Coturnix japonica: one gene and its partner. The protein of the gene in region 2 interacts with the protein of the main gene of each other region in a pairwise test. Links are inferred from orthologs where the notes say so. Each region holds a gene or a part of one and is shown on either strand. Other genes may lie near its edges. The genes, in order: MYCBP and MYCBPAP.

Evidence for each region.
Region 1: the proteins of MYCBPAP (region 2) and MYCBP interact in binary tests that used the Homo sapiens proteins (3 or more experiments, as listed by UniProt). The link is inferred for Coturnix japonica from reciprocal best matches to the Homo sapiens genes MYCBPAP and MYCBP.

What each region holds. Positions count from the first base shown.
Region 1 is NC_029538.1:2,899,095-2,903,588, forward strand, and holds MYCBP (C-Myc-binding protein), read left to right. Parts: upstream 1-1,694; 5' UTR 1,695-1,788; coding exon 1,789-1,803; intron 1,804-1,936; coding exon 1,937-2,009; intron 2,010-3,214; coding exon 3,215-3,263; intron 3,264-3,348; coding exon 3,349-3,478; intron 3,479-4,001; coding exon 4,002-4,046; 3' UTR 4,047-4,104; downstream 4,105-4,494. Other genes in the region: GJA9 (gap junction alpha-9 protein), read left to right, coding at 1-734. UniProt on the Homo sapiens protein: May control the transcriptional activity of MYC. Stimulates the activation of E box-dependent transcription by MYC.
Region 2 is NC_029533.1:9,056,372-9,060,970, forward strand, and holds the start of MYCBPAP (MYCBP-associated protein), read right to left. Parts: upstream 2,959-4,599; coding exon 2,883-2,958; intron 2,802-2,882; coding exon 2,668-2,801; intron 2,094-2,667; coding exon 1,934-2,093; intron 1,844-1,933; coding exon 1,740-1,843; intron 1,268-1,739; coding exon 1,096-1,267; intron 793-1,095; coding exon 677-792; intron 395-676; coding exon 244-394; intron 23-243; coding exon 1-22. Other genes in the region: RSAD1 (radical S-adenosyl methionine domain-containing protein 1, mitochondrial), read right to left, coding at 3,185-3,308, 3,449-3,552, 3,617-3,671, 3,746-3,893, 3,989-4,052, 4,125-4,490, 4,586-4,599. UniProt on the Homo sapiens protein: May play a role in spermatogenesis. May be involved in synaptic processes.

The DNA of each region.
Region 1 (4,494 bases), on a different chromosome or scaffold from region 2:
GCTCTTCTCTGGGAATATCTGCAACTCCTCCAAAAACTCTCCCTTCTGTACTTGGTGGTTATGCCTTTTTAATGGAGAAGCAAACAGACACTGCCATCTACCCAGCCTTAAACTCTGCTCCCATCTTCCAGCCCATTCAAAACAACCACGCAGAAAACAGAGGCAATTACACCCAGCACAACCAGGAAAACAAACTGCCCAAGAAAAGGCCAGCTACGAATGCTTTAGCTGGTCAGACTCCGAATGCCAGCACAGAGTGCAGGGAAGGTTTGCTGGGCAGACCTGCGACTGAAAGGAGGAACTCGCAGAAAGAAGCTGATCAGAAACACCTCCTTGCTGGTACTCAGAATGCAGATACAGCTTCGAGAAGCTTTGCTGAGATGCTGTCGCAGCCTCCCCTGCAGCCTTTTCCTGTTGCCAGCCTCAGAAGACAGCACGGAATCATCTCCTCCTGGAACTGCTGCACAGCAGCTGAGAGTGTTGGATCCTCCACAAACTCCCTTACAAAGAGCAGCAGCAGGAGACGGAGCAGCCTCAGTGCAAGCCAACTGCCCCCCAAAGCTGACACCCGGCACCCCAGCCGCCCCAACACCCCTGATTCAGCAGGGGAGGCCAGCACTGGCTCCAAGCAGAGCAGGGGCTGTGGCAGCCCCCAACCACTGCCCTTATCAGGGCGGCTGTCGCTGTCAAGCAGTGCAAGCAGCCGGAGAGCCCCCACCGACCTGCAGATATAGCATGGCTGCCCAAGCACTGTGCTTGGGTAACTGCTGGGCTTTGTGATAAGAGCAGCCCAGGAGCAGCTTCCTCATTCAGCTTTAACCAGTTCTTCCGCAGAGGTTAAGATAGAAGCTCAGCCCTTTGCTTTTAGCTCAGTAACTTCTTGCTTCGCTGGCGATGGAGGGATGGCTTCAACCTCTGTGCCAATCTTCTGCATTAACCTTCCAGCTAAGGAGAACATATACATCATATACACCATATACATAATATACACCATATACATAATATACACCATACACAACATATACATCATATACACCATATACATCATTTACATCATATATACATCATATACAACATATACATCATATACATCATTTACACCATATACATCATATACATCATATAAATCCACATACAAAGCCACACAGGAGGAGAAGCTGGGATTACAATAGCTGGTAATATGTAAGCAATAAACATAAAAGAACAAATTACAGTCTCAGAATCTATTGTATGGAGACCAGTAAATGAAATGAGGTGGAAGATCCATTCACTGCAGGTGTTTCTCCAGCAGCTGCTGTTTGTGTTCTCAGTGTGTGTGCGTTCAGCTCTGTGTAGATGTAGGGTTGGACATTTTGGATATATTTAGGTGCTATTATGCTCATTTAACCCCATGCTGTGTATGTGAATACCCCATTTGCATTTGACACCTCTATAGCAAAAAACGTGTTGACTTCACAGCTTAAAGAGCAAAGAGACAGCACTGAGGGGCTCGTATGTAGCAGCTCAAGAGTCTGGAAGGTTAGAAAGGAACCCAAAGGGCAGATATAGGGCTCTGAATGGGTTCTTATTGCCAGCCATATAGACCAACATATCTATATAGATACAGGTATAGATACAGGGCCAGGCCGAAGCCTGCAAGCACCGCGCATGCGCAAACCTCCCACAACCGGAAGGCCTAGTCGCAGAGATAGAGACCGGGACTTCCGGTTGGGTCGCCATGCCAACGGTAGGAAGCCGGGGCCGCCATATAAGAGGCGGGCGGTGGCGGTGCGGGCGTTGCGGGGTTAGATGGCGCACCACAAGGTAGGGGCTGCGGGCCCGAGAGGGTGGAGGGGCCTTCCTTATAACCCCCCAAACCCTTGGTGGTGGGGAGGGGTCGAGCTGTGTGTAGGTAGGGATGTGCCGGTGCTCTGACAGTGTGGGCGTCCTCCTTCAGGCCGCGGATTCGAAGAGGGAGCAGTTTCGGCGCTACCTGGAGAAGTCGGGGGTGTTGGATACGCTCACTAAGGGTAAGGAGGATTGAAGGCCTGTATGGGTTGGGTTGGGGCCGAGCAATGGGAATGTGCTGTGCCAGCCCCCTAATACTGGGGTTTAATGGAGGTGTCTGTGCTTATCTGGATAGGAAAGAAAAGCACGTTGAAAGCTCAACGTATTTATCTCTTTCTTATGGCTCACTGTGCTTTAAATGATTGCTAAGGGGTATGATTTAGTGTAGGGTTGTTTTAGGGTTCTGGTTAGGCTGTGGTTGGGCTTGATGATCTTTGAGGTCTTTTCCAATCTGCATAATTCTATGATCCCTTTGTGCTCTCAAGATCCTTTCAACATGGTGTTATATTCCTACTTAATAAAGCACGTTGCTTATGGGGTGTAGCAGCTGTGAGGGGTGTGCTCTGTGCTCAGCCCAGGTGTGTTGGAGCCCTTTGATTTCCTCTGGCTGTGGCTGTGCTGTTGCAATGTGGAAGCAAAACAAATCTTCCAAGCCCTGCAGCAAGCAAGTTTGGCTTCTAACTTTAAGTGTTTAGCTTAAAACTGTGCAGTTTGTGTGGCTGAAAATGGGAGGGAGGCGCTTAAGCTCCTTGAGAAGCATTTATCAAAGCAGAATGGTGGGGTGTGTGTGTGTTATGTCATTCATTTTGTGCTCCATAATCACAGAATGACCCGGGTTGGAAGGGACCTCAAGGATCATGTAGTTCCAACCCCCCTGCCTGGCAGGGCCACCAAACATACACCTTTACTAGATCAGGTTGCCCAGGAGACCCCATAGAGACCCCATAGATCAGGTTGCCCATGGCCCCGTCCAACCTGGCCTTGAACACCTCCAAGGACGGGGCATCCACAACCTCCCTGTGCAGCCTGTTCCAGGGCCTAACCACTCTCCTAGTGAAGAACTTCCCCCTAACATCCAACCTAAATCTTCCCTCTTTTAACTTAAAACCATTTCCCCGTGTCCTGATATTGTCAGCCCTATCGTCCCCTGTGGGTCAAAGAAATCCCTTCTGCCCACCCATTGAAGTATAGGATGCTCTGTTTCACCTTGTGCATGACTAAGATACTATGATGATGATCTCTGTCCTTAACATGAAGGATATAGGTGAGAATCTTGAACATGCTGTGAGCTTGGTGTGCAACTTGTATTTATTCTGTCTGCTGTATGTGTTTTGGAAACTAGAGTTGCATGGATGTCTTATAATGGTTGTTCGTCTTGTATTTGCAGTGTTAGTGGCCTTATATGAAGAGCCAGAGAAACCAAGCAGCGCACTGGAGTATCCTTTCTGTCCTCTATGGGTTGGTTCTTGCTGTTATAAGCAGCCTGTTGAGCTGAGGAAATACTTAACATCACAATATCAGCTTTTTGAAGCATCACCTGGGAGCTTCAGCTCCTGAGAGTCCAGAAATGGAGGCGCTTCGTATGGAACTGGTAGAGCTGAAGGAGAAATACGAAGCTGTGCTGGAAGAGAATGAGAAACTGAAATCCAAAGTAAAAGTCTATTTAGTGTTCAAGTCTTTTTAGTATTCCTAAGTACTTCTGTGTTTGATAAGGGTGCTTTGGCACTTATAATACAGCTAACTTTCACTGCCATAACTGATTATGATGTTATAGGGTTTGGCCTTGGGAATATTATCTCATTCCTTGCCTATATGTAGCTTCTGATGGAAGACTTGTATTCTGAAATGCAGTTTTTGCTAACAAAATAAGTAAATTAAGGGATAGTGGGAAACTCCATCTCATCATTCAGTCCCATTTGTTATCTGATAATGTGTATATGGTTCCATAAGAGCTTTGTAAAGCAGGGCTGGGGGGAAGCTAATGCTTTTCTATTCAGGCATTCCAAAGCAGGAGGGGAAATAGTGTTAGTTATTGAGGCCTGGCATGGGTCTGTGGCTGGGTTTTACCACAGGAGGTCACCCTTTACCCCTATGGAACATTAACATCCAACTCTGCTGCTCCTGTGTCTTTTAAGATGCCCCATCTAACTGATTGCCTCTCTTTAAATCCACAGCTGGCTCAATATGAACCACCTGAAGAAGAGAAGCGTGATGAATAACAGTAGTTTCTCCTTTCGTACCTTGGCTTTATTAATAAAGGGCTTATTGTGAACCGCACTCCTGCTTCTTCTATGTGAGTGCTGTGTGTCTCTGTGGGTATCTCAACTATAAGGACAAGCAGGGGGTGTGCAGCTCTATTTGTGGTCAGTCATTTTACTTCCGTGTGTGTAGGAAGGAGCTGAAAGAGGAAATAACACAGTGTAAGAGTTTCAAAGGCAAAACAACCCCCAACTCTATTGCAGGAGGTAAATTAGAGTGTATAGCATGTGTGTGCAGGCTGAGAAGGGGCTGATCTATGTATATATGGGGCTCCATATATCGGCTCGGCCCCATGTCCCCACCCTCGCCGTCATATGACCGGAGCGTCTCCCAGCACCTCCTCCATCGGCTGCGAGAAGCTTCGTTGTCAACCAATAGGGTCCTAAATGGGTGGGACTTTGCGTTGCA
Region 2 (4,599 bases):
ATCCTCTCTGGAGGCTTCTCATCTGTTGGAGCACCCACACAGGAGCTCACCACCTACTTATTTCACTCAGCCCTGCACACAGCACCCAAGGTGTGCCGCAGCACTTACAGCACTGCAGTGCTCGTGCAGCAGCCCACACCAGCCCTGTGCTTACTGCAGGCCCAACCAAAGGCAACTGGGAAGCAGCCTCTGTACCACTGGGAGGGATCACCTCGTCCTGCTGCTCCCTGCACACTCCCTTACCTGTTTCCATCTTAACAGTGTGGGGCTTCCCCACGTGGGTGACAGGCTCAGGGCAGCCCCGTTCTGTCCGTGTCAGTGTCACCGTCAGACCCGTCAGCTCATCCCCAATGCGCTCAGGTTGGCTCCAGAACTCACTTCCTACTCGGTAGCCCTATGGAAAAACAATGCTCCAACCAGCACCCTCAGGGATGTGCAGCTGTTTGCCACTTCCACAGGGACTGGCAGCTGAAAAGAAGGTGGTACCTCGCTCTGCCCGTGCAAATGTTTTAGAAGACCATAAATAATCACCCCCTGCCCCATATCCCCCTCTCTGCATGGAAGGACTTTGGCAATGATCTGAGGACAGATCTGCGCGGCTCGTATTTGCAGCAGCAGCACCTCAGCTCCTTCACAAGAACGGAGCAGCCAGGAGGCAAAGGAAGGGGGCTCTCACCTTCCCAGGAAGCAGAGCAGCGAGATTACGGTCAATGAGGTCCCGTTCTTCCTGGATCTGTCTGTAACCCTCCACGATGCTCATCAGCAGCTCATTCTCTGGCTTCTGAAGAATTTCTATAAAGGAATATGAAAGGCACTGTGCTTCTCTGGGCAGATCCTTTACTATTTTCAATGTGTAAACCCCTTATACCACCCTCATCAAGCCCACTGTGTTTCCTGCAGCCAGAACCAGCAGCTCGCCCTGCAGGGCCACCACGGGCAGCAGCACCCACAGCACAGGGAGCCCAGGGAACTCAGGTCAGTGGCAGCAGCAGGACTAACCCAGGTTGGTTCTGGCCATTGCTGTGTGCTGTGCAGCCATCAAACAGCCTCATGTGCACCCAGAATCTCACAGAACAGGGTCCCTCATCCTCTCACCTCCCAGATTCCTCTCCTGCTTCTTCCTGATTGCCATATTGCGGTGCCAGTTCTGCAGAGCTTTGTGTTCTGATGTTGGGCTCTGACGAAACCTTCTCTTTGTCTCCCCTCCACGCTGCTCTTTTAACAATGCAGCAACACGTTGACGAGGAACCTGAATGAGATCCACCATCTGAAAAGAAACAGCAAAACTGACCTCCCAGTGCACACACTGCAGGTACAGCCAGAAACGGAGGATGGGAGCAGAGAGAATCCTTCAGGCTGCAGCACCTTCATGGACCACAGGGAGGTACAAAGATGGGGCACTAAGAACACACTCAGAAATGATGGATTGAGCCAAGTAACTGAACTCAGGCAGTGACGTTATTGCAGCCCCAGCTCTCCCAAAGACGCCTGATCCCATCAGCACAAACACAAGAGGAAGCTCCTGTCAGTCTTCCCTCCACACTCTGTGCCTGCACACAGGACCTCAAAACCCACTATGCAGTTTCTCTGCAGGCAAACCCTCCCCACAGAATGATGAGGAATGAACCCCAATCCTCAGGAATTAACCCCAATCCTCAGGCCTGATGTGTGTGTGACAGGTGCTGAAATCATCATCACACATCATCATTCACCCCTCAAAAAGCACTTTTATATTCAACCTGAGTGTTTCCTCTGGCCAAGGCTTCCATCTCCAGCTCCTGGAGACTTCCCAGCACGTGGTGAGGAAGAATTTCTTCACAGCCCGCATTGAACGGTGCCGGTCCTACAAAGACACCAGCCCCGGAGCAGCTCACTAAGCACATCTGGGCTCGTCACAGCCAAAAACCAAGGGCAGACTGAAGCTCAACCCTACCGGAGAAGCGCGGCGGCTCCCGGGCTGTCCTTGTGAAGGCCGGCCGTGCCACCAGGAGCTGCGCTGCCTTCCTGGCCAACCTGGGCTGGTGTTTCCGGACGAGGAATTTCCTCCTGACCAGGATCCTCCCGGCATCGCGGGGCGGGCGAGGAGCGTGGAGCTGCGGGCAACAACCACAGCACTAGGTACAAAGTGACCTCTGTGTTCCTTCTGACCCACCCGGACACACGGGGAGCCCCATCAGCTGGGGGAGAAACTGATCCCAGCACCCAATGTGAGCCTGCACCATGAACCTGCACCATGAACCTGCACCATGAACCTGCACCATGAACCTGCACCATGAGCCTTCCCAGCCGGGTGCAATGTGAGGCCGCTGCTTTGTCTTATGTGACTGCAGACACCGGGCAGTTCCCAGCCCGCTGCTCTGAGCCCACGTTACAACCGGGGCAGGGGAAGGAGCCGAAAGTTCCCCATAGTTTCCTGTGCTGCTCGATGCTGAACGCTGCCCTGCACAGTGCAAAGGGACGGGGCCAGCAGCGGCACAACACAGTGCAGTGCATCGCATTGCATTGCAGTACAGCACAGCACAGTGCATTGCATTACACTGCAGTCCATTGCATTGCATTACATTGCATTGCATTACATTGCATTGCATTACATTGCATTCCATTGCATTACATTGCATTGCATTGCAGTACATCGCAGCTCGGTGCCGTGTCCCGCCCCGCTCTCACTCTGTGCAGCTCCTCGTCCCGCACCGCCAGTTCTCGCACATCCCGGACCCGCAGCGGACACAGCGCGGGACGCGGCTCCTCGGGTTCGGGCCGGGCCGGCTCCGGCGGCTCTGAAACGCACAACGACGGGCCGGGTCAGCGCCGGGAGCAGCCGTGCACCGCCTGGGACGCGGCCCCGGGTTTAATGATGGAGGTGGTTCCGGTGGTTCCGGTACCGGACGGGGTTGGGGACGCGTTCCGGCCCTTCCCTCGCCCTTCCCTCCTGCGCGGCGTGCGGCCCGAGCCCGGCATCCCGCGGAACGGCGACACCGCAGCCATGGCAACGGGCGGCCACCACCGAGACGAGCGGACAGAGCGGCCCCAACGCCGCCGCTCTATGGTGCCACTCTACGGTGCTACTCTATGGTTCCGCCCCGCCCCGCTCCCGGCACAGACCCACGCGGGATGTCGATGCTGTGATGGAGCCGCTGTTGTTCCGCTCCATCCGCCCGCCCCGCATCGCCCCGCACCGCGCGGCTCATCCCGCGCTCCGTCCCCCGCCGTCCTGCTCCATCTGCTCCCAGCGGTGCCGCAGTTGCCGCAGCAGAGCGGGCAGCAGCGAGTCCAGCACGGGCAGCCCGGCAGGGGAACAGCGCAGAGACCTGGACGGGATGGGACGGGACGGGACGGGACAGCTCAGCATCATCACACGGCTCAGCATCACACAGCTCAGGCCCGTCCCGCATTGCTGCCCGCCCCGTGCCCGCATCGCTGCCCGCCCCGTGCCCGCCCCGCCGCTCACCGTCCGTCCAGCCGCACCCAGCCGTTCTCCTGCAGTTCTGCCGCTTCCCCCGACGCCCCGAACGCGGCGTCCAGGCTCAGCCGTGGGGAGAAAACCCCCCATCGCTGCGGGGATGGATGTTCAGCGGCGGCTCCTTATTGCGCTGCCCGCCGCTCACCCGCCGCTCACCTGATGCGTGACGCCCTCAGCCGTGCGCAGCCCCAGCGCCAGCAGCTCCTGCAGCCTGCGGGCACGGCGGGTGTAGGGACGGGGGAAGCACAAAGGACCCCCCACCCCCGGCCCCATCCCGATGCTCACTGCTCCAGCGGGCTCAGCGCTGCTCTCCGCCGGGTGCCGTGCCCGCAGCTCCGCACCTCCCGCATCCACGTGTCAGGGTGCGGTGTCTGTACACGTGCCTCCCGCACGCGGCCGCCCTCACCCCACGGCACGAAGCGGCCGTGAGCCCCTGCGAGGGAGCAGAGAACGGACGGTGCAGAGAGCGGACAGGGCGCAGGGCACACACAGCCCCGCATAGTTACCAATACCAGCCCCAGCACTTACCCGGCCCCACACCCACGTACTGCTCTGCCCGCCAGTAGGACACGTTGTGTGCGCTGTGGGCGCCCTGCAGGACAGCGGTGCGGTCAGTGAGGAGGGGCTGCGCCCGCGGTGGGGGCACCAGGCGGGGGCTCCTCACCTGCCGGGCAAAGTTGGACACCTCGTACTGGTGGAAGCCGGCGGCCGCCATCGCGGTGCGGGCGCTCAGGTACATGTCGGCCAGCAGCTCCTCGGGGGGCTCAGGCAGGACCCCCCGCCGCACATGAGCCTCCAGCTTCGTGCCCCGCTCCAGCGTCAGCTGGTACAGCGCCAGGTGGTGGTCGCACAGCCCCAGCGCCGCCTCCAGGCCGCGCTCCCAGCCCTGCAGGCTCTGCCCCGGGAGCCCGAAAATGAGATCGAGGGAGGTGCGGCCGGGGAACAGCTGCCGAGCCGCATCCACCGCCGCACGCGCCTCCGCCGCCGTGTGGTCCCGGCCCAGCAGCCGCAGCTCAGCATCGTCCAGTGACTGCGGACGGAGCGCGGTGACAGCGGGGCCGCGTGGGAACGGAGGGGTGGGATGGAACGGGATGGAACGGGATGGGATGGGGCGGCCGCGCTCACCTGGACGCCGAGGG